4 linked regions of the Oreochromis niloticus genome follow. The protein of the gene in region 1 purifies or fractionates together with the protein of each later gene. This does not show direct contact. Links are inferred from orthologs where the notes say so. Each region holds a gene or a part of one and is shown on either strand. Other genes may lie near its edges.

Region 1 (7,126 bases):
TTACATGAGGGGCTTTCAGGCTTTCGAACGAACAGCAAGGGGGAAAAGGAGCATCATGGAGTCGGCTCCAGCTTTAATACTTATCTCCATTGTGAAAAAAGTTCACGTACAGCTTATTACTAAAATCAACAAACACGGACGCTTAGCTAATAAGCAGCAATAAATCATGACATCACAAGCTGGTGACCACATGTCTAAATGAGTTATAGAGTAATAATTAACCATAAATCAAAATGTCAAACAAATAGCAAACATTTTGATTTTTGAAATGCCCTACATACCGTGAGGAGACTTGAAGAACTTAAGGTATTAACCCAATATTTATTCCAAAGGAGTTCCAGGAGCTTTCTATCAAGGGAGGACTTAAAGTAAGTAACCTCCAAAGCGTAATACCTAAAAAGGAGAGAGACAGAGAAAAAAGAAGCGCATATGCAAGTACTGAAAATAAAGTAAACAGTGAAAAATGTGTGATACAGTACATGCTACACAAGTATTTGATCCGGTACAATACTGTAGCAAATATAAATACTCACTGTTTACAGTGTACACCAAAGTCTTCAATCTTGTTCAGGGGGATAGTCTGATATTCTGAGGGTCCCTCATCAGGGGGTTTGTAACCCTAAAAATCCAAAAAGGAAATACTAAGAACCTAGCAATTACTACAGTAATAAGGAATTAAGAATACAGAGTGACTGAAAATAAATTTATAAATATATTCTTAATAAATACACAACAATAACATCAGTATATAAAAACTACTAAAATGATCAAATATAGCTATGCACAAGAAGAATAAAAAAGCAGATATTTTGTGATTTTAGTAAAGACCAAAGAGGACTGCTGCTATATAAAGTCTTTGCTTTACCTTCGGGTAGGTTCTGAAGGCACCGAGGTTGACTTTCCCTGCAGAAATAGTCCGAGTGGGATCAATCTATAGGAAGCAAGATACAGTAGAACAGGAAAACAGAGTCAGGGGTCACACAAACCTCTGGGGACGACTCAAATGTGGCCACCAGGAGCCTTTTTACTGGGGCTGTCAGTGTGCTGAAAATACACACTTAATTACATGATGCCTCTGGCATTTAAGCGCCGCTAAACCAAATGAAGTGTAAATAGCATATGTGGTTGTAATAGCAAAATATTCATCAGTACTACGTGCAAATCTACAACTCATCCATCAGTAATCTTCCCCCCTTCTCAGTTACACCCACATTAATGGGACGTGGGATATGGGATAAGCTCCATTTGAAAAGTGGGAAAATAGAAGTCACAGTTAAAAAAATACAAAAACCATTAGTTTCAAAATAAAAATGGTTACTATTTCCCATCTTACCACAACAGCCACAAAAGGCTCCTGAAACTGTTGGTTGAGCATCTGGGTGCTGACATCTATGCCTGACAGCCAGCATCCATAGCCCGGGTGACTGTGGTACCAGCCTATCGCATTCTCCAGCCGGCCAACCTGAGGAATTATAGATAATATAAAATCATATTTTCTTTATGACAGTGTAAGATGTCAATAACATTAATGTATTTGACACAGTTTACAGTTTTTATCCTTATCTAAAGTAGCATTTTCCTATCTTTCTTTTTTCTTTTAAGAAAAATCTCCACATTTGTGTAGTCACTTGAATTCATTAGAGTATTGGATAGAGTATGTTAAACAGGGACTGGAGAAACCTCATTACATAGTACAATTTACACAAAAATTTACAATGATTTCTAGATAATATAAAAGAGTGCAAATCCTATTAGCCTTATAATATATTCATACTGTATTCCTGCTTCTTGGGTTGCAACATTAACTACAATAACGTGCTTGAAAATGAGTTAGAGGTAAGTGATCGTATACCCAGCATGGGAAAAGGCAGACAAATGTGGTTATATACGGCTGTCAAAATATTAATACTATAAAAAGACAGTAATGGCTTCAAATAATCCCTTTATAGTTTGTAAATATCATATTGATATTAAGTAAAAAAAAAAAAAACAGTTCTAAATCAGCTGAAACACTCTTCTTTAAGTAAAAAAAAAAGAAAAAGTAATGGTTGTAAACCAGTGACATTCACAGAAAGTATTAAGTTAATGTCTCAAGCGAAATCAAGTCTGATTTTATCTAGGCTATAGTTCGGTTCCTTCTTTCTAAGTCATAACTCAAACACGATGCTCTTCATGTGTGTGGAAGTCAATGTCCCACCTGTTTGGCATTTTCAATATAGGCAGCCATGTATTCATAGGCTGCCGCCTGGGCGTTGACTCTGGTCTCTGTGCCCTCCACGGGCAAAGCAAAGCTGTCCATGATGATCATGGTTTCACCGTCCACCTTTCCCAGCATGAGGCCCATCACCTCCAGGTTTCCTCCAGACCTGGCATGCATTACCATCTTCAACAGGGCCAAAGCTGAGATTTTGCAGTACTTGAAGTAGTGGTGACTAAAGGGTGAACAATGACAAATGTATTTGCATTGATGTTAGATAATATTAAGCAATGCGTATATTGTAGATACACATCCAGTTTGCTGTACTGCTACTGACATAAAGACCGGTTTGCTAGTTTGTAGCTAAGCTATCACTAATGTTCTAACAATAAACTATCAACGAACAACATGTAATACGAATACGCCAGCTCAGCAATCACCTAAATACTTAGACAGAAACCTAAATACCACAATGTCGTTTTGCACCCACTCTTTCGTCCATGGCTTCGCAGCGAGGATTTCTTGTTGTTGCTTTTTGTCATATTTGTAAATTTCATCAATGCTCTGAACTTCCTGCATGCTGTTAGACAGCTCCCATGTTTTCTGAGCCGTATTGCTCCCCGCCATGTTAATAATGTATCCAAGCAAAACCCGAGCCGTCAAAAACCCCGATTTTTTCTTTAAATAAGGGAAGAAGTGCTGTATTTCTCCCCGAAAGATTTTGATATCGTTTTAGGAGCAGATAGCCACTCGCTCAAGGAGCCATGACAGTGAGCGATACCAACGCAACAAAGTGAAATCGACGGGGACGTTCGTCTTCATATTACACATATTTACCACTGATGCGTTTATTTGTTATAAGCCATCTCTTAACACTACAACACAATGATATATGATGATATTACATTCACTGATCATATTTTTATCGTATTTATTACTCTTATTAAAATATATTTACCCCTGTGACGGAAGCCATGGTTTAGTCCTGCGACGACGTCAAACTAACCGCTGGGGACGCACTGACATCTAGCGGCGCTTTTTAGAAAGGTACCTACATCTATCTGTGAGGGCTTTTTTCTTAGAGCCTCGGCATTGTACTTATACTGGGAGCTGAGGTTTTTAATGAGTCAATAAAACTAAAGCTAGTATTCATTAATTAGGCAATACTATTCTGGAAAAAGGCAGCAGCTAGTAAGTTAAAGAGCTACTAAATAGCCGAAAGGGCTGCTGGTTAAGGCTAGATGGTATCATTTTTAGACAACAGCAGTATGTTAAGTTTATTAACATGTTGTTGATAAACTTTGCCTGGTTTTATGTTGTTTAAAGACGATTAAAAAGAAACAGCAAATCAGATCCTAGTGTTAAATATTGCAGTTATTAAAGACTTAATATTTGGACTATATTAGATATATTTTCTTGAATGTTTGTGTTAGATGTGTTTGCTAGCCTCTCCCAGGAGAAGGTTTGTGTCATGGTTGCCCATGGCAACGGAATGACGCTTTGGGCTTAGCTCGCTGTCAAAGATCGGTCGGATAGATTTGAGCTGTGTGTGGAAATTTAAGAATTATTGATATATATCATCTTATTTGGGCTTCTTATTTGTCTAGCCAGAGTTACAGCCGAGCCTTAAAATAGACACGCATGTTTATATACCCCATTGTAAGTCCAATGTTTGCCTTATTGGGTGTATTGTGTATCACGATGGGACGTTTTTTTGAGAAGCATGAAGAGAAAACTCCCCGCCATATGTGATCAAGGACTTGCGAAGCAACGTTTATAGGCGTAAACTAATCAACCGGTGAGTAAAAAAAAAAAAAAAAAAGCAATTCTTTTAATCACATGTTGCTTGTTAATAAACAAATCGGTGTTTCAGCGAGTTTTTCTCCACAGTCAGGGTCAGATGGTGCAAATTACACAATGCTGTAAATATGACTTCAGCAGCAGCTCTAGGAGTAAACCCCAATCCCGACAGAGGTACTGTACAAGGCTGTAGTAGTGAATTGGCTGCATTATTTAAGCCTGTAGTGTTTAGTGAATAGTTTCCTGTTTTTATTGCACAGTCTACTCTATATATGCCGTATTTCCCAGGTATTGGCTTAAGTCATCTGCTGGGTACCGAGTATGAAAGGAAGAAGCAGAAACTTCAGCAGGAGCTCCAGCTGGACTACAGAAACTATATATCCAGGGTGTGATGACGCAAAATAAATAAATAAATAAAATTAAAATCTGAACATAAAATAATATATAATATATAGTTAATTTAGCCCAAACAATAGGAATTTACTGTTACATCAGGCATAATATTATATATAACCTATAAGAAAAGGTCTTAAATAAATCAGAATAGCTTATTAAAAATAAAATTTAAAAAAAAAAAAAAAAAAAACATGCCAAGACAAACTGGCTTAGTGAGGTAAAAGTTGTACAGTTAAAAAAAATGTTTAAAAAAAACAAAAAAAACCCAAAACAAAACAAGCGATCTCAATATAAAAAAACAGAAATAAACAACAGAGCACCACACAAAGGCATTAGAATAAAAACCTTTTACTGAGTTATTTTCATTCACTGTTGTAATAGATTGTTAAATAGTAGACTAAACAGTATATGAAAAATAATTAATCTAAAGTCAGAATATCAAGTTAAATAAAACTGGAAATCTTTGCTTAATGTAAGTGCCACCGAAGTGAAAATTATGAGAAAGATAATTATTTTATGTACTGCAATTTTTTTGAAGCCTGTGCTGAATTATTTAAAAGATTTGGTGTCTGATTAAACACGTGCTAATTTGCATACATATCCAATTGACAGAATGGAATAAAACACCTAAATGTGCATTTTAGACATTTCTTTTTCATTAGTGTTACATTTAAGACTTAATAAATCTTAAATGTTAATCTTAAAATTGACTGGAACACGAGAAGTTTTTATCTGGAATGACATATCAGAAATGGTTACGAAAATACATTCACCAGCCACTTTATTAGGTATACCTTCCTAACGCCACATTAGACCCATTTTGCCAATCTAAGTGGCATAGATTGAACAAGATTTTGGCTTATGACATGGTGGAGTATTTTCCTGCTGAAATCAGCGATCGGAAGATGGATATACTGTGGTCACACAACGATTGCCATGGTCAGCAACAATAATCATGTAGGCTGTATATATGTAGTATCATCAGTTGGTACTAAAGGGCCCAAAGTTTGCCAAGAAAACATCTCATACACCATTACACCACCACTATCTGCTTTAGCTTATCCACTTCAAGGTTCACAGATGCTCTCCTGCATACCTTGGTTATAACAAAGGGTTATTTGAGTTACTGTTTGTTTCCTATGAGTTTGAAGCAATCATTGCTATTCTTCCCTTATCTCACCTTTGGCATCAACAAGACATTTTCACCCAGAGAACTACTGTTCCCTGGATTCAGACTGTTCTCTGTAATTCCAGAGATGGTTGTGTGGGAAAATCCCAGTAGATCAGCAGTTTCTGAAATACTCAGACCAGTCCATCTGGCACCGGCAACCATGCCAAGTTGCTTAGATTACCTTCCTTCCCCATTCTGATGCTTGATTTGAGCTTCAGGTGATCGTCTTCACCGTGTCTACATGCCCAAATGCAATGAGCTGCCGCCATGTGATTGGCTGATTTGGTATTTGTATTAATGAGCAGCTGAACAGGTGTACCTAACAAAGTGGCTGGTGAGTTTATGTCTGTGTTTAACTAAGTTGTCTCTGTGTTGCATTTGCCGACACACAGCAAATCTCTTATTCTTCCTGCAGAAAACGGATCTGAAAAGTAGACAGCCTCAACAACAACTTCATGGAGTGTCACTACCGATTGATGAGAGGATATCTGTAAAGGTGTGCCTGCATTCGTTCGGTCATCAAAGTAGAGCTTTAGCTCTTCAGCTAGAACTGATATAAACTGCTGACTGCACAGTGCTGCGCGCTTCATGGCAGCTGATTTTCTTTGTATAAAACCGTGAACTTACAAACAAAAGTTAAGAGCAATTTCAGGTGTCTATATGTGCACGACAAGCTGAATGTTAATCAGTATTGATGCAAGCATTTTTGAAATATTGAGGCAAAATAAAAAATCCCCAAAACTCCATTATTGTAGGATTTTGAAGCATCCATCTAAGCTATCATGAGAGTGCTTAGTCTGAGTGATAATGCCTATTGGAAATTATTTATAGGTTTATTGTTTTGATTCCCAGCTCCTTCAGAAATAATATAACCTTAACCTCATCTTCATCTTGAATGTGTGCATGCAGAATATGTATCTTCTTTGGATAGAAGATGGTATTGTTTGAGTTTTGTATTTTCTTAAATTATAAGTGTCATATGAGCTTAACTGAGCGGTGTGGCTGCTTGTCTCTGACTTTTTGTTTTCTCTTGCAGGAAAAACTGAGAGAGGAGAGAAATAAAGAATACAACCTCTTCCTCCAAGAACAAGCTCAAATCAGAACGCTAAAGAGGAGAACATCTTCTGTCAGTCCCAAGGTAAGAAGATTGATGACTCAATAGGCAGATCGTGCACAATAACACTAGTGTGTTTGGTGCAATAATCCATGCAATTTTTATACCACACTTTAAAGGATTCTCTATCACTAGAAATGCCTCCATTTATCAGGTAGCTACAGCTCACTGAGTACTTGAAAGATAAATAATGAAAAGCACTCTGTTACAAAGTAAATCTTTTTTCACATTGAATTTCTTCCTCACATTTTCATTCTCAGCGTGGACAGATTCAGGCTTCAGATGGCTTGAAAATTTCTCCCCCTGCCTCCCCCCTGTCATCCCATCACAAGCATACCCACACAAACATAGTCCCCATTCACAACGAGAGGAAAGATGCTTCCACTCTGACCGAGGTGTTCAACGATGGAGAAATCGGGAATCAAGTTCAGAGGCGGCGAAGACGCTG
Region 2 (6,934 bases), on another chromosome or scaffold:
ATGCATGTGTTACTTGTTACGTGTAGAAGAATGGCAGTGGTCTCATGTTTGTATAAGTCATTAAACGTAATCTGTAATGAACTATCCCAGGAAGGAATGAGATGAATATTAGAAAGCCAAAAACAGTATTCAGCACTTTGAATATCATTTGCGACAGCTTGCAAAATTTCAGTTGCAAGAAACAAATGTGCTATTGGGCCGGGGGGGGCTGGCCACCCCCCAAAATTTGCGTATTTGTTTTTCATATTCACCCATTTTCAGGGATAACAACTTTAATAGCAGGAAATTACGTAGGCATATAATTCTTTTCTTTATCTCTTTTTTGCCATATTTTTCAAGTATCCAATATTTAACAACAGCATAATAAAAAAAAACGGGAAATTGTGTTTAGTGTGCCACCCATATGGCCATTCCTATGAAAGAATTTTTAAGGCGTCCCTGTCATTAATAACGTGATACAAATATGTTTGAAGGCAAATAACTGGCTATAGTTCATTGCCTAACAAACATTTCTGTTGCTTACCGGCACATTGGGAGTGTTGGATTTGGTTATTTTGTGTCAGCAACCAAATCAGTAGCACAGAAATGACACACACACTTTTTTTTCCCCAGGCTTTTGAAAACAGAAGGTAAACTATCCAGAGCAGTGGAGACTGCTGCAAAAATGCAGTTCTGCCAGCATCGTGACCTGGAGCTTGAACCACAGAGGCTGCTGCTAATGACATCTGCCATCTCCTAGTGATGTCCCTTCCTGCAGTCTGGGCCTACATCAGCTCACTTATGATGCTTGAACACACATCTTAGTAATACGCTCACTGACAAAAGACTGAGCGGACCTGAATCTGATGTTCTGAAGTACACGTATCATGATATGACATATCATGATCACTGAATGACACAGGAAATCATTCCTGCCCATGGCCATCTCCCTATACAACTCCTCCATCTAATACACTGTAAACACTGCAACAGTTACATTCTTTTTGCACACGCTCTTTCTACTCTGTAATATTCCTGTCAACATTTGTGATATTTATTTATAATCACCTCTGTCAATCCTTGATTTTTATTATTTAGTGATTTGTATATATTGTGCTATTTCTTAAATCCGTAACATACCGTATTGTTAAATAGTCTAGTCTGTTTCTGTTATTTATACTGGAGCAACTGTAACCCATATAATTTCCTTAGGGATTAATAAAGTATACCGATTCTGATTCTGATATTGGAACTGCTGCGGAAAATTTTGCTAGAATGGCAAGACACTGAATGAACTTTAAACTGCCAAGAAAACTATTCCAATTTGTTTTCTCATCCTACAGATTTTGTATTGTAGCAGCTTGCTTGCTCTTGTTGGTACATACGCTTGATTAGAGCCGGACCAACATAGGATTTTTAAGACCGATATTGATATATGATGATTTATGGTGACAACGCACTCATTGTTGTGTCTGTAGTGCTCTAAAAATGAAGTTGCAGAGTGCCCTCTGGTGGATAAGTGATTCAAAATCAACAATCACATCTTGGTTGAAGAGTGTTTCTTTCTCTGCTTTTTTAAATTTTTATTTATCAGCTATCATTATTGGCAATAAAGATACATGTGCAAATAGCCAACATCGGGCTTGTGTTTACTATCGTACTGTCTTTGTGCCAGTGAATGTGGAATCCTGTTTAAATGCACAATTCTCTAGCCTATAGCCAGCATAGATGTTATGATATTTTTGGGTAACCAGAATTTCACTGTGGTATGGGTGCTGGTAAAGTTGGGTTTTCGGGGAAAAAAAGCCATGAATCAGTCTCTTTCTGCCTTGCTCATTAAGTTGCATGTTGCTAAAATGCATGAGCAACTGTCACTTAAATGTTGTATGAACCAGACTGGCAACAAGACTGGCAACAAGACTACTGGATCATAGGAGGAAAAAAAATGACATTAAGCACAGTCATAAAATGATCTCTCTCTTTCTTTGGCAAGGTTTAATAAACAAATGTGTATACAGTGTCAAGTTAAAAACATTCACATTATCTAAAACACACCCCAAACTGTTACTAACCTTCAAAGTTGAGATCAGCTCCGTAGCGTAGGAGGATTTTTGCTGGCTGCACCAGACCCCGCTCTGCCATTTTGAACAAGGCATAGCTGATCCCCTCCACAAACACCTCTGACTGGGATTCTTGCTCCAGAAGCTCCACCAGAGACCTAGAAATTGCGGATTCTTCCTCAGAACTCCTGACAGGAGGAGAAAGAAGCACCTTATATGTAATGTTTTGTGTGTTATCTGATACACAATTAATTACGGCAGTGTAGCACTGCCAAAAGAGGACTGTAACCGAATAGCCAGGTTTACCTTTCCTCGCCAATGTCATCTCGTTCTTCCAGTCCAATAACACACATGACAGCATCTACCAGCGGCTGATACTCATAAATTATCCTGCGAAATCCATGGAGGAAAGGCATGGCTCTGCCTCGGTGATCCTAGGTTAGCTCCTAAAAGCATAAAAGAAATGCTGTGTGCTGAGGGTGTGTCAGTCTAACAGAGAACGCAACGCAGATATCAAAGTTTATCTCCTGAGTACAGCTGACAAAAGTATTCATATCGTGGGTGACACGTCACAGTAACAGGCTAACGCAGTGGTTTTAAAATCCTTCATATAAAATAATATTTACTCCTAATACCGATTAGTTAGCTGGACCCGTGCAGTTAACGTTAGCTGACCGTTTGTCTAACATACGCTAACCGCAACGACAGTTATGTTATAAAAATGGCGACAAAAGTGTCGCAGTCAATGACAGCATGACTTACCAAATGTATCACTTCTTAACTTGCTAAATTATAAATAAATGTCTTAGCGAAATTACTTTTATAAGAGAGGAAAGTCACTCAGAGCAGACTCCCTTCAAAACAGGAAGCTTTCCTCACGCCAGCATCCGTCCGACGCTGTTTTCATTCCCATTTAAAATACAAGCCTAAACAAGGTTCCTCTTTCGAGTCCGTGTCCTTCAATCAAAAATGAGTAACTAAGCAAACACACTGCACCACTTCAGTTATTGAAACATAGACATTTATTGAGAATTTAAATGCCAAATAGTGATTTCGGGTATTTAAAGGTTAATTAGTGTATAATCAGGCCTTCCCGCAATCTGAGGCGTTTTCATTATAATCAATTATAACTACATAGGAGCAGGCGCTGGTTTCTGGAAACCATCCATCTTTAATACAGCTGCAGACACGGACATGGCTTTTCCACCTAATAGCTTTTTATGTATGTGGCTAAAGATCAACCACATACATAGTATGTCTTATAAGTCACTTTTAAGTCACTTTTAATTTGATAATCACAAACTGTGTGATTTCAAACTGTGTATGATTATTTAACATTTATATTTTGCACATCTCCTCATTTATAATTTCCTCATCTCCTTATTACTGTCATTGTTTCTTCCACCATGCACCCTCATTTTTAATTCATCCTTTTCCTCCTCACCTCAAGCCTCATCTCCTGATATGGTTGCAATTACTTATTGTCAGCAGATTAGACATGCAACCCACCTGTCTCAGGACAAGCTGACTAAACAGTAAGAACAGCTGGTTAGCAATGTTCGAGCTATGGTTAGGCTTGAGTGTACTAAAAATCACAACTTTCCCTCTTATTATTAACAGCTTGATTAAATACTGACAGCATATAATCACTATAGATGTAACTGTAGCAAGTATTAAGCACTTGAACTTTGAGGGGTAAGAAAACAGAATTCAGTTGACTGCGGTCTCCAACATACTGACATCTATTGGTGATGATTTACACATTGTAGCTTTAAGTAAAATGCTTTTGTTGTTGACTTATGATCTGTCAAATATATTTTTCAAGAATGATATTGAGTTATTTTGTGGTAGAAATAACATTCCTGTCACAGGTAGAAACTGTAGATTTTTTTATGCCAATTTATCCGGTGTTATTGACATTAAAAATATCCTTTTCAAAAGGTATCTCGTGAAGAGGGCAACAAATACAACCAGTTACCACCAGTGGTATAAAACAATCAGCAAGTGCAAAAAATAAAAACATACAAGTATGACTGTAAGGAAGTCTGCTGGAAAACTAACAGAGATATTGGAAGGGAAAGACAGGCTGCTCAGTCCTAAAGAGAAAACTCTTGCAACAGCAGCCATTGTGACTGAAGCAGAACTTCCAAGAGGGACCTTCTTACTTTGGGTCAATATTAGCAACAATTTTTAATTAACTGTAACGGATCCAAAAATGTTTTTGTATCCCGGTGACTATTGTAATTATTTTGAATAATTCTTCAAAACTTTAGGGTCACTGCCAAGTAATGAGACTTTAAAAGTACCTCGTCTATGAGCTCTGATAAGCCACAGGCTCGGTTTTTGATTGTAGATTTAATTGATTGCAGCATGATGTTGATTTCTATTATCATTATTATTATTGTTATTTTCAATTATGGCTCCAAGTAGAATCAAAATGAGGATAAAGCATGCTGTGTTTTAGTGCAGACCTACCTTGTGATTGACAAGCCTGTATCATACGGACATGCACCTTCCTGCCATTTCTCAGTCAGTTAAACCCCTGCTTTTTAAAACAACGCTGGCAGTGCCCAAAATGCTCAGTTCATTAATTAATGAGTGATGGTGCATGGTGACTGTGTACACTTTTTTTATATGCACCCTTAAGACTCTGATAATAAACTTTAACTTTAGCAAAGGTTTACTTAGAAAGCTGCACAATTTCCTTTTTTTAACTCCTTTCCAAACAGACAATACTATTGGGAAAGATTCCAGGATTTTCCTCAAACATGTGTGTCCAGTTCAGTCTATTTGTTTATTATTTTATGTCACAAATCAGTCTTTGTTTCTGATGGTAACTGTCATGTATTTATCAAACCATACCAACTTCCATCCAACGATCAAGTGCCTGATTAGCATTAGCATATGTTTCCTTTGATATTCTTACTGACCAACATAATATTTCTCCCACCAACACGAGCAGTTCTAAAACACTTTCTTTTGTCCATATGGCACATTACTCCAGGACAGCAGCTTTCGCATTTGTGACAATTTCTCCATTATGCCGACAGCATCTGGTTGTTAACAGTTGCCTTCGTCCTGTTTAGCAAACAACCTCCTGCTGAGTCGGAGTTTGTTGACAGATGGCTCACTTTGAGAACCACAGAGGAAAGCCTTCTCTCTCACAGGATGTCATTTTTAGCGCATGTGTTTGTGTGTCTGACTTTAAACATCACCCGTCCCAACGACTGCACGTATGTTAATCCAGTTTTTGTTGCTGACACACTGTCTCAAACCATTACAAAATGGTGCAAAAAATGCTGAGGAAGACAAATTAGCTATACAAGCATATTCTTTTTGTAGTTTTAAATAAAAACAAACAAACAGGGAAAGTAAATATTTTTGATTAATATGTTAAAATTAATGAACAAATACACAGCTAAAAAAAATTAAATGAACAGTTTGAAATCACATTAGATCTCAGTGGGAAACAAATCATGCTGGATAGCTACACTGACATTGACTGGGTAGTCTGTTAGCGTTTGAGGGAAATGAAAATGATCAACCTACAGAGGGCTGAACTCAAACACAACCCAAAAAAAACCCAAAGCGAAAATTTCATTTTGCTGAATTTCATTGCAGCAACTCAAAATGGTACTCAGTAGTTTTTATGGCCCTCACATGCTTGGCAACATCTGAGCATGCTTCTAAAGAGATTGTGGATTGTGTCCTGGGGGATCTCCTCCCAGATCTGGACCAGATCATCACTGAGCTCCTGAACAGTCTGAGGTTCAACCTGGCAGTGTCAGACGGACCAGAGTATGAGAGGTGTTGTATGAGAGGTGTGACGGCCAGTCAGTGGTATCAGTTCCTTCATCCTCCAGAATATGCCTGCATACTCTTGTCACATGAGTCTGGGCATTGTCATGCACCAGGAGGAACCCAAGGCGCACTGCACCAATGCAGGGTCTGACAATGAGCCCAATCATGCTGAACGATGTCACAGGCAGCATAATGCTTTCCACAGCTTTTCCAGACCCTTACACATCTGTCACATGTGCTTAGGATGACACCGGTGGACCCGCCAGCTGGGCACCAGAGTTCCAGAAAGTGAGCACAGGGCCCACCAGAGGATGTTGAGATCTCAGGCCAACCTACATAAAGTCTGTTTCTGATTGTCTGGTAAGAGACATTCATAACACCGGACTTTTGGAGGTCATTTTGTAGCTTTGGCAGTGCTCTTCCTGCTCCTCCTTGCACAAAGCAGCACATACCGCTCCTGTTGATGGGTTAAGGACCTTCTATGACCCTGTCCAGCGCTCCCAGAGTAATAGCCTGTCTCCTGGAATATTCTCCACGCTCTCAATACTGTGCTGGGAGACACAGCAAACATTCTGGCAGTGGCATGTATTGATGTGCCACCCTGGAGGAGTTGGACCTCTGTAGGGTCCAGGTATCACCTTGTGTTATCAATAGTGACACTGATCCTCACCAAATGCAAAATTAGTGAAAAAACAGGCAGAAAAGATGAGAAGAGAAAAAATGTCCCTGACATCATCAGTAAAACTACTCATTTTTGGGGGGATGGTTCATTGTTGTCCTTCTAGTGCACCTGGTATTAATTTCATTAACACTAAAGCGGCTGAAACTGATTAACAACCCCCTATGCTACTTAACTGCCCAGATCAATATCCCAGCAGTTTAACTGACTCAATGCTTTACTCTGATTAAAAAGCGGTCCTTTCATTTTTTGAGCATTGTACATAACTCAAGGGTGACTTTATTATTTTGAAGATGTTTAGGTTTAGAGTACTGTTTGATTGCTGTCTAAATAACTGTTGATACAAATTCTGCCTTTAGGTGGCAGCAGAGCAGCATCGGCACACAAACTGCACCCTAGACCTGTTATTATACAT
Region 3 (7,693 bases), about 14 Mb from region 1:
TAAAGGGATGTTAAAAAGCTTTGCACTTCAGCCGCCGCGCATCAAAAAGCTGTTACTCTGCACTGCAACACACCAGCTGACGGAGAAGAGAGGAAACCCTTTCAAGAACACAAACACACAGAAACTCACATGTGCTCACTGAGAACGTAAACACACACGCAGCACACTCACCTCTGATTGGCCACGGGCATGTCAGAGGGGGTTGTCCGAGCCAATCAGAGGACAGTGCCCCTTGTGTCCAGCAGATGCTAACAAAGTCCCTTTTCTGAGCGTCAATCACCTGGACGACAAAGCCAACAACAATTAAAGCGTGAACTCCTGCAAACTTTCACCAGAAATATGTGGACAAACATGTGTGATTTACAATCATAAATCATCCGTATACTTTTAGTCTCAACAGTCCTTTCAACAGTTTAGTGTTCATATACATGATAAACTCAGTGTGTTTACTCATCATCATTCAAAAAAATATAAGTAAAAGTTGATTGGAGGTAAAATGATGGTGGGATTAAAAGATGAGTCCAGTTTATTACAGCCTGCATTTTGTTTTTGGGGGGAAAATCTTGGACGTTATCCACCTCAGGAACAGGTTGGTATGGAAATCAGTTGTATTTAGGATTCTGTTGATTATCCTTCAAGATTTTGCCGTCAGACTCTGAGAACTTCATGACAATCAATCACGGTACGAGAGCTGCACCTCCTGCTGGTGGCGTCATAAGCTCTTTAAACCCACAGCTAACAGTCGCTACATTAATAATTCGTTTATCGGCCGACTAGCAAGAGCCTCACCTTTTAAAGGTCTAGTTGACTAGTGATGCACATCATGTTTCTTCTTCCTCTGCTCTCAGTTTCATTACGCGTGCACCTCCTCACAGACAGAACAGCAGAAGAGAAATCCCTCCAAACTGATGCTGCTTTCCTTTTAGCTTCCGTGCTACGTCAGCTCTCCCGCTGCTGCTTTTTGGGTCAGAATTTCAGTTCAAATATGAGATTGTGGGTTTTTTTCCCCTATTTGAAGATACAGATGGTAAAAGCTCAGACTCTGGTGTCAGATATAAAGTTATTGTTTTCAAGAGATGAAACCAAAATAACGTCTAAATTTAAAACCACCCAGACTGTAATAAACTGGAATTTAACAACCAAAATAAAAATCTAATTAAACACCAATACTTAAGAAACAAATGAAAATGAGATGTGAAAGAGATTCAAAATATGGGAAGGACAAAGAAAAGATGGGTGACAGGAATGACATAGTGTATGGGAACGAAACGTAGGAAATAACCCATCAAATCAATAATTTTACTTTTATTTCTAGTGACTTACGTTTGGTATTTCAGTTAACTACAAGTATTTTTATTTTTTCATCATCTGTACAAGAAGTGGAAATAAACCTGATACAATAACTTCTATGATTTTTAAAGCCATAAAAATCATCTAAACGTTACTCAACAGAATCATTGATATCATAGCTAAATTTAAGGATCCAAGACTTTAACCTTTGACCCCTCGCCCTTCCCCCTATCACATCCTAAAACTCAGCGGGCCGAAATGAGGCAGATGGTCTAGAGGAGGGCAGAGTGAAGATAAAAATATATATTTATCAAGGAGTTCTGTGTGTTTGACGTACCTTTTGGAGCCCGGGCGAACAATCACAGGCTTGGACGGCTGAGCGCTAAGGGGCCGCTCGCATTTCCTGTGTTTGTGCTTCCCTGGTTCTGACGGGAGAGACAGAAAAAGATGCTCTCAGAGACAAAGAAGGTTTAAATGAAGAGGAAGACACGAGGATACCCATCAAACAGTCCACGGTGCGTTCAGGGGCTTGTAAATCACAGCTCTCATGCACAGAAGAGCTGTAAAACACACATCGTCGGCAGTTTACATGAATATTTAATTTACTGGCTCTTTGGTAATAGTTTCACATGTGACAATTTAAAGGAAAATCCAACGTTAAAGCGACAAGTGATGAACAAATACATTAGTTTATGTGAGAGGCGTTTCTTCTCAACCTGCTCTCCAAGTTAGGTCTCATGTGTGTCCCAGTTTGTGATGTTTTAATTATGAAGATTGAGATGTTTATTATATCAGTGCTTTTGTGAAAATGCCAAATGTCTTCCAGCGCTGAGAAATGAGGATCATGCTAAGCTACTCTAGCGGAGCTGGAAATTTGTGTAAAAGCTAAATTGTTAATGAAAGTTGCGGCTTAATCACTTTGTTTAAGCTTGTTTGGTACTATAGCTGATTAATCCTTTCAGCCCTGCTTTCAGTGAAAACGGGATGTAGACAACATAAAGCAGCTCGCTGAATCGGTCTAGCCTCGTTTTGATCTTTCTCACCCGGTGGCTGACCTCACCTGGGTCTGCCTCCAGGTGAAAAAGAAAACATCCGCACACTTGTCACAAAAATAAGCCTCCCGCTAACGTGTTAAATCTGCACCAACACGGGGTTTAAAGTGCCCTTGGTTTCCGTGTTTACTTCTTCAAACAGCAGCGGGGGGACAGCGTGCTCCGAGCCGCGGCTGGAGCTCCAAAACAAAGGCTAACGCTGGCGGATAACGGTCCCCACACTCGGCTGTAAGGACGGAACATGGCGGCGTACATTTGTGGAAGATAAAGGAGGAAACTGTCGCAAACTGAGCGGATATTTCACTCCGTGTTTGTCTAAACTCGCTGTCACGACTCCGAGCTGGAGCTACAGGGGCTCCGACAGCTGCTTAGACCGGCGGAGCCGCTTTAGCTTAGCCTAAATCCAGCCGTCTCACCTCGGCGGTGCGAATCTCCACAACCCCTCTTCGACCAGCCAGCTCTGGCTCCGTCGGACATCAAGTTGCGAGTTCGATTCCGAGATCAAGAAAGCGGGTGGCAGCGTTGCACTGCCATGGTGGCATCAGCGTCCATCTGCCAGGCGAACAGACCCCCTACACGGAGCTAAATTAAACGGGTAAAAAGCCACAGCGGACCACAGGCTCTGCGGACGCCATTTTCTGCACCGGCGTCATTTCCCTTTTGGGCGGAACTGAAGGGCGTAGTGCGGCGCTGCATCAGAGATCGTATATTTACCAAGAGGAATCACTCCAACGAGAAAGAAAAAATCCCTAAACATACCCGGTTTGCGATGATGGCTACTCACTCAAACCAAGCACGAAGAGAAAAAAAGCACAAAAACACGTAAAATGATTTTTTTTTGTTTTTTAAAGAGATGCTAAATTGCCCCAAAGTTATTGAAAAAAACTGCGCTACACACTTTCACATGAATAATGCACTCACATAAATGTACAAATGCCTTGGTCAGTCCTCAATCATGCAGGTAAAGAATTTCCAGAAAGTTCACTTTGTTCATCTGGACGTCGCGTTTTCACTCATCAGCGTGACTTCTTCAGACTAAGCGGACTGCGGGGTTTCCTGATCTCATAATCAGTCCATCTGCATAAGGACTGAAACTTGGTGTCAGTTTCGTCATCGTTAATATGCAAATTGTGACGATCGTTGATCAATGACCATGAGTACCATTCACACTTAATCACAGCGTTTCATCTCATCACACAGAAATCTGTACATACATGTACACCGAATCTGGGCCGTAGGCGAGTTCAGAGCGCCCCTAAAATAACTATATTAACAGTACTAATCGCTTAAATAAGACTTTGTTGTTGTGGCAGAAAGAGCAGTTCTAATTTAATGACACAAATCAGTGATGCAGATTTAAAACATACTTTTACTAAAATGGAGAGAGCAGGAACGAAGACACCAGAGAGAGAGAAAAGAAACAGGCAAGAGTGGACATGTGGTCAAATTCACCAAATTATTCACCAAAAATTAAAAAGCTGTAGCTTCTGTTTTACCAACATACTCTGATCATGATTTCTCACATAACACCACAGCACACTGTTTATAAGTGTTTATAAGCAGTGTGCTGTGGTGTTATCAATTATGGATCCTCAACCTGCTCTTATAATAATTTTTATAGGAATATATTTTTGTTATTTTCTAGGTGAGTGAGGAGGAGAGAGAGGAAAGAGGTTGTACATGAACAGGAGAAATGAGGGAGCAAATAGTGAAGTTGGCTGGAAAAACAAAAGTTATTTTTCACAGAGTAGTTTTTCATGTATTTTGCTGAGGCTTTGTGTGCTTTCCAGTAGGACACTTAAAAAATGCCAGTGGACATTCTAAACAGAACATATTGATATGAATGGTGTTTTACAGGATTTACACTGTCACTCTAAACATGGCTGAACAGGATACCTGCCACTGCACTGATGTGACGGACTACAAATCTATTCTCCACTTGTGAAATCTGGGTACATGATGCTAAGTCTGTATAACAAAGGGAGGGATTGTGTTTCTTTTCTTTAATATAAAACAATTCTATTGTCTATCGTGTACAGGTCTATGTACTGAATAATGCTTCTTTATGCACTTCATGCTGCTGTGGACTGCCTCTATGTGATTAACAGACTGAATCTGCTTTGCCACAAATAGTTTAACTTCTTTTATGACTGAGCCTTTGCCTTGGTTTTGAAAATTAAAGGCTCCACCCGAAAACGGGTGGATCGGATTAAAATCTTTGATTATTCACTCTGAATTATTCTTAGACACAACAATAAGACATCAAACTAACTAACTTACTAACGTACTAACTAACATGTATCCAACTGAACTGAGGTTTGGAAATGTGAAAAGGGCTGATTACATTTGCAAACAGCATATTCCATTAATAATAGTTACAAGGCACTGTCTGCATGAAATTATGATTAGAAGCTGACCCACCTAAAAATTAGAATCCTAGAATCGCCCCTGCTCTGTACTTTCCTGAAAGATAAATGAAAAGTTACCATCGCAACACGATTTTGCTTTTCTAACAATTAAAAAACACGAAGAAGAAAACTTTAATGTAACTTTAAAGTTTGAATGGATGGATTTACCACAAAGATGCTCAAAATTACCTACAAATGCCCCTTCACTGTTGGACAACATCTCCCACCCCATGCATGAGACTGTGACAGCACTGAGCAGCTCCTTCAGTGGGAGACTGCGGCACCCACGGTGTGGGACGGAGAGATTTCGCAGGTCTTTCCTCCCCACTGCTGTCAGACTCCACAACAAAGACTTCAACTGATCTAACACACACATCCACACATGTGCAATAACACTAATGTGCAATAATCTTTTCTGGCATCGTTGTATTTTTACTCAGTTGTATAAAGCATTTGTATTCTATTTTTATCTTATTGTATATTTTATTCTATTTTATTCTACTGTATATAGTATTTTATTTTATTCTATTCTGTACAGTTGTGTACTGTATTTATTCTTATTTTATTTTATTCTAATCTTTGCTTCATAACTTTTGCACTGTCCACTTTCTGCTGTGACAAAACAAATTTCCCACGTGTGGGACTAATAAAGGTTATCTTATCTTATCTTATCTTTACTTTCACCCCGGAAGTGGGTGGTGGTGGGGTCATTAAGTGTACCTGATGTTTTCACAGCCTAAATAATGAGTGAATTATATTTTAACCATAATTGGTATATCCTAACTTTTCCTCACTAAAAATGTTTCCCGAAATCAGGCTTTATAGCGTTTTAATTTTGAACTACTATGAAATAATAGTAACCCTACTCAGGTAGACCAAACAGCCAGAACTACAAAAAGTTAGTTAGATGACGTAAATAAATCGCGACGGTCCGATCACATGGATGAACGTATACTTCTTTCTTTAAAAGGGGACTAAATTTGGGACGCATGACTGTTTCCCTGATGAGCAGCTGTTAATGGGATACGAACAGCAGCAGTGTGGGGTTATTAAACTGGTTTAAATTTACAGCAGAAACTGAGAACCGCTCCGGTTGTTGCATCAGCCCTCGAGAAAGGACCCAACTACATTTTTACTTGGGCGGATCGCTTAAGTTTAAAATTATACCTGGAAATTACCGCTAAAAAAAAAACATACCGCACAACGCTGTAATAAGTTCTTCCAGGCTTCCAGGGAGTGAAATTTATTTTGGCTGAAAACATTTTTAGGCGAAGAGGAGTGCCGGTTTAATCGATTGATCAGGCATTCGGTCGGGCCTCCTTATTCATTCCCTTTTCTTTCAAGATGGCGGGCGACGAGTCAGGCACAACGCTCGGTCAGCCTCACTTGGCCAAACAGGACCTCAGTACTCTGGTAAGTGTCTGTTTATCGTGTTTTACAGCAGTGTGGTTTTAAGTTGGCGGCTGTCGGTGGCCCGTTGTTTCAGTAAAACGGTCACAGAAAGCCGGGAGAATAGTAACGGATACCGGTGCTGCGCCACCCGGCACATGACGCAAGGGCCCAGGCTGGGCGGAAAGCTCAGACCCGTTGCACTTCCAGCACGAATTGCAGCGTTATTTCAGCCATATTTAACACGATTCACACGTTGAAAGACTTACACTTGATATTAATAGATATCAGCGTTATTGAAGCCTGTTTATCCCGGTTTAATTTTAGTTAGCTCCACGGAGTTAGCTCCATCTTTGTTAGAATCTAGAAAATGGTTCTTAATGTTTAGTCCGGCATAAAAACACCTTTATAAGCTTATATCCTTCCTGTTAGTCCAAGCTGTAAAAAGAAACCATACACTCAGCTTGTAAAGCTTTCATTCTAACTCATTTGATTTACATTGTTATAGCTCATATTCTCACCTTTTATATAAATGGAAAATTAGTACCAAAAATGTTGGTCAAAGATGCGACTCTTAGCGTGTTTTTCGTGTTTATACTAAATAACATTAGTCTTTATTCAACATAAGTTCTCGTTAGTTGTGACTTATGAGATGAGAACAAAAACACTACGTGTAGTGCTGCATGTGTCCTACAAGGGAAACAAAACCTTATTGTTTAACTGTAATCAGGGCTTGTGCCATTAAAATAGTCCTGTTTTAGTGCTCTTCACACATTGTAGTCGCTATCAAACTCTTTTATTCCCAGACACAGTCATCACCTGAAACTTTGCTTCTTTAGACACTCCTACAATAAAATTCCTAATGATTTCTGTTATATTGTTGGAAAAGTAGAGTACTTGTGGATTGTTGCAGTTCTGTGTTGCTTTATGAGAACAATCCCGGGTGGTTTTGTTTCTGCCTGTGAGCTGCTGCCCCTCTTTGTTCTTTAGGATTAAGCACACCGCTCACTCTGATGCGGTTGGTCCTGGCATGACGAGTCATTAATCTGCGTTGTTCTCTTTGTCAGGACGTGTCGACCTTGACGCCTCTCTCTCCGGAGATCATCAGCAGACAGGCCACCATCAATATCGGTATGGAAGACAGCTGATCGGATTCGATGTCTCTGTAGGGTTTGATAGGGCTTGACCTCCGTCTTCTTCTCTCTTAGGCACCATCGGTCATGTGGCCCACGGAAAGTCCACAGTAGTGAAAGCTATTTCTGGCGTGCACACCGTCAGGTTCAAGAATGAGCTGGAGAGGAACATCACCATCAAGCTTGGATATGCCAATGCTAAGGTAAGGGAGTGAATTTTCTTAGGTGTTCTTATTATTTTTGCCTATTTTTGGACCTCAGTGTTTTAGATTAAAGAGCAGTGGAAGTTTGTATGTTCAGGATTTACTCTTTCAAACGTGAGCTTTCCCATCTACAGGCTACAAATGCAAACACATTTAACTTTATTGTCAATACAAATTGTTACCACAGGTAACAGAGCATTTACATAAAATGTCTGTGA
Region 4 (8,010 bases), about 7.7 Mb from region 1:
TATTTCGTCTTCTTCATGTCCAATGCATTGTATATTTTCACAGCAATTGTGCAGTTATCCCTCCACTCCAACAGAGCACAATGGTCCAATCAAGATTTTAGTCATGCTAAACTAACTGCTACTTAATTCTAATTTAGATTTTAAATACTCCAAAGTTACTTACTGCGTACGGATACGACTGCACTCTCCGTGGGAAAAACTGGAGCCTCTACATCTGCCTTTTTCTCTCTGCACACAAAAACATTTGTTTGCAGTTTCATAATTTCACTGAACTCTATAAACAAAACTAATACGACTCCAGTGCCGCAATTATTTTCCATTTAGATTTTATTTCTGGGGTCTGACCTCTGCTAGCATGCGAGTGAAACTGCGATAGCCTTTCAAGGAAGAGGAGGCGGTGGCCAGCAGGATCTGAGTGCGGATCTCACTCCGGTCCACTTCGTGTGTGTCAGGTTGGGTGTCCACTAAAGGGAGAACACAAAGAACAAGCCTCAGTAGGAGCTCACATTCAACAACAAGCTCTCAGAACTTCAGGCATGCTCCGATTAGCTGTCCTACATATTTGAGAGAACAATCCATGGAAATTTTTGACAATTGAAACATTGTTTTATGTTTGATCCATCACTGATTGACAGACGATGCAAAGAGAGGAAAAGAAGAAACACACAAAAGGAAGAAGAAACAGTATTTAGGCCTCACTAGTTCTAGAAAATAAAAAACTGAATTGAAGTTTCCATAAATAACATTTTTGGGATGGCAGAGAAAACAAGACAATAACATTAGTGTAAGGTTTCATGTCTCTAAATGAAACCTTACTGACATTCATCCACTGCTTCACTACTTGGAAAGAGAAGACATCGTCCTAAAGTAATTATATGTATTTCTGCACTGCAATGGCTGCACTCTAAATAGATCTGTTAGCTTTCCATATTATGTGATCATTGTAACGATGCATTTAGGGGTATAAATGAAGAGTAAACCAACAAGTAAAAAACTACTTATTTTCCTGCCCTGTGTCAGTGGGAGGTTACCTGGTGGATTATAGCGGTCACCCAGCCGTCCATCCCAGGCCCCATCGCTGTCTTCATCAGAGTCAGAATACGACTGGACCAGCTGCAGCCCCGTGGCTCCACTGCCATGGACCAGTCTTACCTGACCCCTGCACATGCAAGCAACCAGTCAATTAATCAGTTATGATTAATCTAATTATCTATTGCCCTAGTGCAAAGATGTAACTAGAAAGAAAAAAAAAGACTTGATAGGTGGAAACCAAAGCTAAATGGTCCAGCTGTACAACATGTAGCAATGACGACATTTAAACGCTAAAGAAGTGAGAAATGTTAAATGTTTTTTCTTGCAGATCTCGGTTCCCTCTGGTCACGAGAGCAGGCCCTGCCAATGTCACGGTTCACTAAAGAAACTATTAGAGGAATATCCAAAAAAATTCCCAGCCTCTCCAAGTGCAATTAAATCAAACTGAAATGGGAAAACCTTAACCCCCACTTAGCTTTGCAGCACTGGAATGTGATGTGACATTTCAATTATTTGCTCTTTGGCAGTGAGATAGAACACTGCATGCATTACTTCTATTTGCCTCTAAATGTCATTTAATAAGCGCCCGATACGCTCACCACACACAAGTCATTTTCACTGCAGCAACTACACACATATGTGATAAAGGCTTCTGTCCTAGTTCTGACTTCAAGAAATGTAAAGTAATGAACTAATGCTACAAGTCCCCAGGGCAGTCCAAAAACATGTAGTCCTCACCACTTGGATGCCACCACGAAACGCCTCTGGGCAGTAATTTTGAAGAATTATCTCATTCTAATTTCAGTTGTCAGCAGGACGTATAAACTGCGCACACAGAATCACCAGCCATGTGTTAATAAAAAGCTTTCTTCCCTTGCCCCCAACAAGTTTTACTTCTATCAACATTTTTGCTGTTGCAGAACTCTCCCACAGTTTGAATTGTGGAATGCTTTGAGTGCCATCATCTTTAATAACCATTACGTCTCTCGGCTAAAAGGAGGAGCTCTTGCTTAAGACTGCTGCCTCCATGACCCAGACAAGTGGTGGATGGATGTATTGCACTGCACCATTGCATATTGCTGCCAAGTGGTATGACTTGCTACTAGAAGGACTTTGACTTTATTGCACTTGTGTTTTTATGTATTAATTGCTCATTTTTACTTCTGCTAGTTATGACCTACTTTCACCAAAACAGCTCCATAGTACCTCTGCTACAAACCTGGGCCCTGGGTGGTATCAGATTGAGCGTTTTTAACAGTGAAAATCACCTCCTCAGTAAGTAAGCCAGCACTTCTGCTAAGTCAACGTCCTCCTCTGATGAAGACTGCCTGTCCGTCCTGCGGCCTCGGCTGCTGCTGCCGCCCTGGTTTGATTCTGTCGCTTCAGACTGCTCTCCTGGGTTGCCACTGGAAGAGCCCCTTCCACCAGACATCCCAGAACTGGACTGTGAGCCCATAGACTGAAGATGGCCTACCAGAGAGAATAACGAGACGTGTAACAACAATTTCAGGGTTACCTGACAACGTCACGTGATCCCAGACACCTTAGAGAGGGACGAGAAGCACAGCAGCTAGGAAATAATGTTTGCTGGATACGGCGTTAAACCTAAAACAGCTAAAGTTACTGGCGCAAACCTCTCCACTCCTTCAGTACAAACTAACTATCCGTGTATTGCACATTAGCTCGTCATGTTTAAAATGCTTGGGGAATATTTAGTTCGAGCTAGCTAATAATGCTAACGATAACATTTGGCTACCGTTGGACTGTCAAACGATCTTCTTGACAGCTCGTCGGTCCACCTCTTTGTCGTTTCTCCGCGAACTGGATCGTGTGCTCGGTGTACAACTTCCGCACCGTCTAACACAACCCCCTCACAAAGCTAGAGAGCCGGAGGTCTGAGAACACAGTGTTTGATCAGTCTGCTAGCAGAGCCAGTCCGTGAATCGCCATGTTGTTTACAAAAGTGTGAAAAAACCCTGCGCGTGCCCCCCCCGCTTGCCCTTTCGGCGTCACGTGACCAGCCCGGTTGTATAAGCCGCTGCCAGCGACACAATTTACCATGAAGCTATTCAAAAAATGAAAGTATTTATTGCTAGGTTTAAATAAAGTTTAGAGTATAAAATAAACCAGATGTTTTTTGTTTGTTTTGTTCTTTTGCCATCTACAAGGAATTTTTACTCAAATATATTATTTTATCATTTTATTATTTTATTTTGTGAAGAAACATAATAAATATAATCTATATGTAATATATAATATAATTGAATTAGAATATTTCTTAATGTATTTCGTATATTTATATGTCCAGAGCATGTACAGCCCATCTAGGCGTCACATAACTTTAACATAAGGATAAACATCAGGCTTTAGTCGTACACTGAAGGGGCTCGTAATGAATGGACTTGGACTTTTCTGGCTAGTACCTCCTAAGTTCTCAGGAACATGAAACTGCTGTTTTGTTGTTTCCGAAAAAAGAAAAACAAACTAAAATGAAAACAGCGCACAGAGTAAAAGTGGAAGGAAACTAAGAATGATAACATGTCAGGCTAAGCAACTTAAAGTGCCACTGAGCAATCTATTTTATTTATTGTGAACGGCTGTACTGCTCAATCCTGTGTCACCTCCACATAATGAATCAAGTCTGAGGTTGCTCACGGTAAAGAAGGTGTTTGTCATCTATGCCCGGGGGGGTCTATAATTTAATAACCCGTCTATTTTTTGACACATGCGTTATTTAGGTCCTACAAAACAGTCTATCAGTCCCCCAGGGTTGGGCTGCCAGGGCCACTGTGTGGACGTGGGGCTCAAAAACCCAACTAACTTCGCCTCTAAAATCTACATTTTAGAATGTGTTCCGGAGGGTGTCACAACAAATAAAATGTAAATATGAAGAGAAGAAGGTCTGAGTCATCAAAGCCCACAACATGTGACTTCTGAATTCATGACATGTCTGCAAGCTCTTTATCGCAGAACAATTTGCTGACAGGGTACAGGAAGATTCAAACAACATACTGACAGCTGAACCACTCATCCAGGGCCTCTCACTTACAGATGGGCCTTGGGCTGAAAACTGACTAATTTCATGTGTTACATGTTTTACAATATATTTATTTTATTATTTACCAAACACCAGTGGATATCATACAAGTTATATCTGAGAAGGCACATTTATAGGCACAAAACAGCCTCGGATACAGGCTGTAATATTGTTAGGAATCATCCATTATTAATGATCACTGGTTTAAGAGTTATTGTTTTAGATGATGATTGGTGACTCTAAACTGCCCATAGAAGTGAACCACTCATAATTTCTCACCAGATATAAAATGCAAACAACCTCAGCAGAATTTACTCTTGGTTTTGATGTCTGGCTAATAAACTTCTGCTCCAACATCTATCACATTGTAAGCGTATGCAGACTGCCTTAGGTTTACTCTGTTTTTCTTTTGCTACAAGTATGACGTCCTGACTTATGGGCCGTGGTGTCCATTAAATAAGTGTTGTTGCAGTTTGAAACACTCAGACTTCTCTTGTGATTACTGTACATGGAAGCTGTAAATGGTAACAGGCAGCGACGGATCTAGAAAATTTTACATGTGAGGGCAAAGGAGGAGCAAGAGATCTACACAGGGTAGCACATACCTCTGTAAATGGAGTAAACAAAATATCCACAAAAAGTATATATAAATATATATAAATTTATTATATTGTTATCTCTTCTAAGAAAACAAAGCCCTCCCCCCCACCAGATCCGCCCCTGATAACAGGACTGGTGCTTATAAAGCACCTTTCTACTCAGTTTGAGCCCTCAAAGTGCTTTGTATAATAAATCTAATTCACCCAGTCACATACAGCGTCATGCAGTGCTTTCATCTATACCTACACACCTTTAGCTAACATTCTCACACACTCACACTCTGATGGATGCATCAGGGGAAACTCAAAGGGCTAGTACTTGCTCAAGGATACTTTTATAACTGGGAATCGATCCACTGCATGTCTGATTCGTAGACATCCATCCATCCATCCATCCATCCATCCATTCGCTTCCGCTTATCCTTTTCAGGGTCGCGGGGGGCGCTGGAGCCTATCCCAGCTGTCATAGGGCGAGAGGCGGGGTACACCCTGGACAGGTCGCCAGTCTGTCCAGTCTGATTCGTAGACAATGTTTTTTTTTGTTTTCTTTTAAATGAAGGGATCATCTACATTCTGCGTGACACAGGACTCCCTGTGTAACAACTCCTGCATGAAGTTGGCCTCCTGTGCAGTCTCCCTGTGAACAGGGCCAGCTGTCTGTGCACAGCAGAAGCCATGGTGTGTGTGGTGTGAATTCCAGGTGTCCAGGTGAATCTGCCTACAACAGGTGCGGAGACCTAATCAGCAGGAGAACCAGTCTACACCTCTGAGAATCCTCCTCCATCGCCTCCACCTAACTGGACATGACCCAAAATGAAAGAGGATTATCCATGCATGACTCTGGTAATTTATCATTGATACAAGCTGACGTGCAAGAACATGTATTTTTTTTTGCAGCTTAAAATATACAGTGTTTTCCTCTTGCTAATGAATATATCACCATTAAGTAGACGCACAGGACTATTAGAAATGTTGTCCTTAACAGACAGCACTGATGGAGCTTAAAGAGCCAAACTTAAAATGCAAGGTTCTTAAGGTCACAGTTTGTCCTCTAACTGTTTGTTTGCCTCCTTTTTCTGTAACCATCACTGAACTGACTGATTTCTATCTAATCTCTGGTACACATCATGACAAAAAAAATCTTTTTGAAGAAAACAAACAGGTAGTCATGAGGCGAGGAAGCTTTTTAATGACATCACTCGAGCACTTTTTTTTTTCCCACCGTGAACAACACGCTCAGTGCAGCCCCTTGTGTGTCTCTGCAGCAGGCAAACATTTTCTCATGATCAGATTTAAGATGATAATAACTCTAACAATGCATGTAACCGTAAACGTAAACAATAGGTTGAAGGAGGAAATATTTCTGGGACAATCAAGATGCTGCGCAATAGCTATTTTGACTTAAGTGGCAGGACATGTTTTTTTTAGTTGAAAGGGTGCAGTCCTCACTCTGTTCTGTGCAACCTGGGTCTTAAATTGGATCTAACACTGGCTATTTGGAGCCTATTTATCCATAGCTCCAACTTACAGATGTGACCTGAACGTGCAACATGCAGGGAAGTTACTGTTTTGGAAGGAGTGCAGCTATAAGGATACACTCACTAAATGTGTGTGATTGTGCCCTTTTGAGACATGGCTGTGCACAGGAGGCTTTTGTTTTGTTGGGGTTATAATTTGGGTTTAAGGGTTAAAACTAGGATTTGGGTAGGGTTTGGCACCTGATAGTTTATTTTAGGATTAAGAGGTTGGGGAATGGATTAATGTCAGTAAATGTTCTCATACAGACAGGAATACAAACATACCTGCACCCTCCGCCCACATACACACAATCAACTGTAGTTATTCATGTATTATTGTGTAATTACTTAATAGTTACTTAATAATGACGTGGACGTGACAAACTAATCAGTGCCTCCAAAAACTGTCTCGCCTAAAGGTGACTGCTTGCAAAGCATGGCATATGTCAAAAGATATGTATCTACATGTAACAGGTCAAAGTCTGAACGCTATGTAGAACATTCAAGTGCAAATGTTTTTATTGAGACATTCAAATTTAAACACCGTGAAGAAAGTTTCTGTGAAAAGACAATGGGACGTTTCATCACTCTAAAAACGTGTGCCGAGCAATCAGAAGATCCTCTGCCACATGTCACAAACCAGTTCTTCCTCTTTGAGCCTCTTTGTGAGTACACATCTTTACTCTCAGTAAGAAAACATTGTCATCATTAGCGATAAATTAATATAAACTCTGATTGTATGGCCAAACCCCTCCCAAAAGCCCCTAAAACATAACCTCGCATACAAAAAGTTCACATAGCAATGACAGCAGCCATGGACCATCCAGTAGGCTTTACAGTTTAGAGTCTATTGAGTTTATAAATCTATACTTTATTACAGAATATTAGCTTTTACAGTAAATAAGACCTTTTGTTTGTTCCCATATTTGTACAGATGCAGTATGATCTCTTAGAGGATGTGTTCACTCAGCAGTTTTGCATAGTGCTCAGGGTGATTTCTTTTGAGGTAAACATCCATTTTTCCTTTAACTCGCTGATCTCCAGTAAGCCCTGTGAAGAAAAAGAGAAAAAATTCTTCACTACTTTACAGGTACGCTTAATAATAATCAGTATAAGGCAGCGGATGTGTTAAATGTTTGAGAGCGTATACCCAGCTTTTCCGCCGTTTTTCTGATCTTCTCCAGCGCAGCCTGCTCATCTCCTCCCTCTGGTACAAGGACTTCTATCTCCCCCACATGATAGCCAAAGTCAGCCTGGTCCAGATCGACCTGCACGCCCTCCTCCTTTAAAGTGAACGAGCGCCGTGCTGTTGTAAACTCTGCAAAGCACACCAGGTTCAGTTTGCTCACCCACGACTCATCTTCATGTGAGAAGCCTGCCTCTGACTCTCTGTCCTCTTTTATGACCTCTTTGACTCTCAGGTGAATTTCAGGCAGGCTGGTTATCTCCTTGTAACGGGTGCACAGTGCTGCTGCTGCTTCACCCTGCTTCCCGCTCTGTGATTCTGCTGTTGGGCACTTGAGCTCCCAGCATCCCTTACGTTTACGCAGCCACATGTCCCTCAAAGTCAGGTGAAACTCAGGAGTGTCGAAATACTGGTCGTGAATCTGCCGTTGGCCAATGCAAACTGCTGATGGAAAAAGGGATTTTTAAAAATAGATAATTCAATAAATAAAATTTTAAAAGGCTGATACAGATAATTAAACTTCATCATTAACCAAAGACAGATGGCTAGTGTCACTACAGTTACACAACAACCACAGCAATTAGTGCCATTAAATGCTGGAAAAGCCTTTCAGTGGCCGTTTATAATTCGCCGTGGATC

Evidence for each region.
Region 2: the proteins of cops5 (region 1) and asb6 purify together in Homo sapiens (affinity purification with mass spectrometry; 3 studies listed by BioGRID and IntAct, with this or other methods). This does not show direct contact. The link is inferred for Oreochromis niloticus from reciprocal best matches to the Homo sapiens genes COPS5 and ASB6.
Region 3: the proteins of cops5 (region 1) and klhl15 purify together in Homo sapiens (affinity purification with mass spectrometry; 3 studies listed by BioGRID and IntAct, with this or other methods). This does not show direct contact. The link is inferred for Oreochromis niloticus from reciprocal best matches to the Homo sapiens genes COPS5 and KLHL15.
Region 4: the proteins of cops5 (region 1) and dcaf11 purify together in Homo sapiens (affinity purification with mass spectrometry; 6 studies listed by BioGRID and IntAct, with this or other methods). This does not show direct contact. The link is inferred for Oreochromis niloticus from reciprocal best matches to the Homo sapiens genes COPS5 and DCAF11.

What each region holds. Positions count from the first base shown.
Region 1 is NC_031974.2:19,440,082-19,447,207, forward strand, and holds the start of cops5 (COP9 signalosome complex subunit 5), read right to left. Parts: upstream 3,001-7,126; 5' UTR 2,825-3,000; coding exon 2,688-2,824; intron 2,433-2,687; coding exon 2,198-2,432; intron 1,463-2,197; coding exon 1,334-1,462; intron 932-1,333; coding exon 866-931; intron 620-865; coding exon 534-619; intron 394-533; coding exon 282-393; intron 1-281. Other genes in the region: cspp1a (centrosome and spindle pole-associated protein 1), read left to right, coding at 4,126-4,171, 4,286-4,383, 5,980-6,060, 6,601-6,702, 6,939-7,126. UniProt on the Homo sapiens protein: Probable protease subunit of the COP9 signalosome complex (CSN), a complex involved in various cellular and developmental processes.
Region 2 is NC_031977.2:11,038,976-11,045,909, reverse strand, and holds the start of asb6 (ankyrin repeat and SOCS box protein 6), read right to left. Parts: upstream 3,009-6,934; 5' UTR 2,858-3,008; exon of another isoform or gene 2,802-2,857; intron 2,486-2,801; 5' UTR 2,456-2,485; coding exon 2,346-2,455; intron 2,228-2,345; coding exon 2,052-2,227; intron 1-2,051. UniProt on the Homo sapiens protein: Probable substrate-recognition component of a SCF-like ECS (Elongin-Cullin-SOCS-box protein) E3 ubiquitin-protein ligase complex which mediates the ubiquitination and subsequent proteasomal degradation of target proteins.
Region 3 is NC_031974.2:5,866,988-5,874,680, forward strand, and holds the start of klhl15 (kelch-like protein 15), read right to left. Parts: upstream 3,015-7,693; 5' UTR 2,820-3,014; coding exon 2,759-2,819; intron 1,716-2,758; coding exon 1,628-1,715; intron 1,009-1,627; exon of another isoform or gene 790-1,008; intron 281-789; exon of another isoform or gene 192-280; coding exon of another isoform or gene 172-191; intron 1-171. Other genes in the region: eif2s3 (eukaryotic translation initiation factor 2 subunit 3), read left to right, coding at 6,095-6,163, 7,207-7,270, 7,348-7,475. UniProt on the Homo sapiens protein: Substrate-specific adapter for CUL3 E3 ubiquitin-protein ligase complex.
Region 4 is NC_031974.2:27,092,376-27,100,385, reverse strand, and holds the start of dcaf11 (DDB1- and CUL4-associated factor 11), read right to left. Parts: upstream 3,012-8,010; 5' UTR 2,789-3,011; intron 2,503-2,788; 5' UTR 2,489-2,502; coding exon 2,301-2,488; exon of another isoform or gene 2,203-2,300; intron 2,122-2,202; exon of another isoform or gene 1,168-2,121; intron 1,160-1,167; coding exon 1,032-1,159; intron 465-1,031; coding exon 346-464; intron 229-345; coding exon 164-228; intron 1-163. Other genes in the region: thtpa (thiamine-triphosphatase), read right to left, coding at 7,135-7,235, 7,336-7,815. UniProt on the Homo sapiens protein: May function as a substrate receptor for CUL4-DDB1 E3 ubiquitin-protein ligase complex.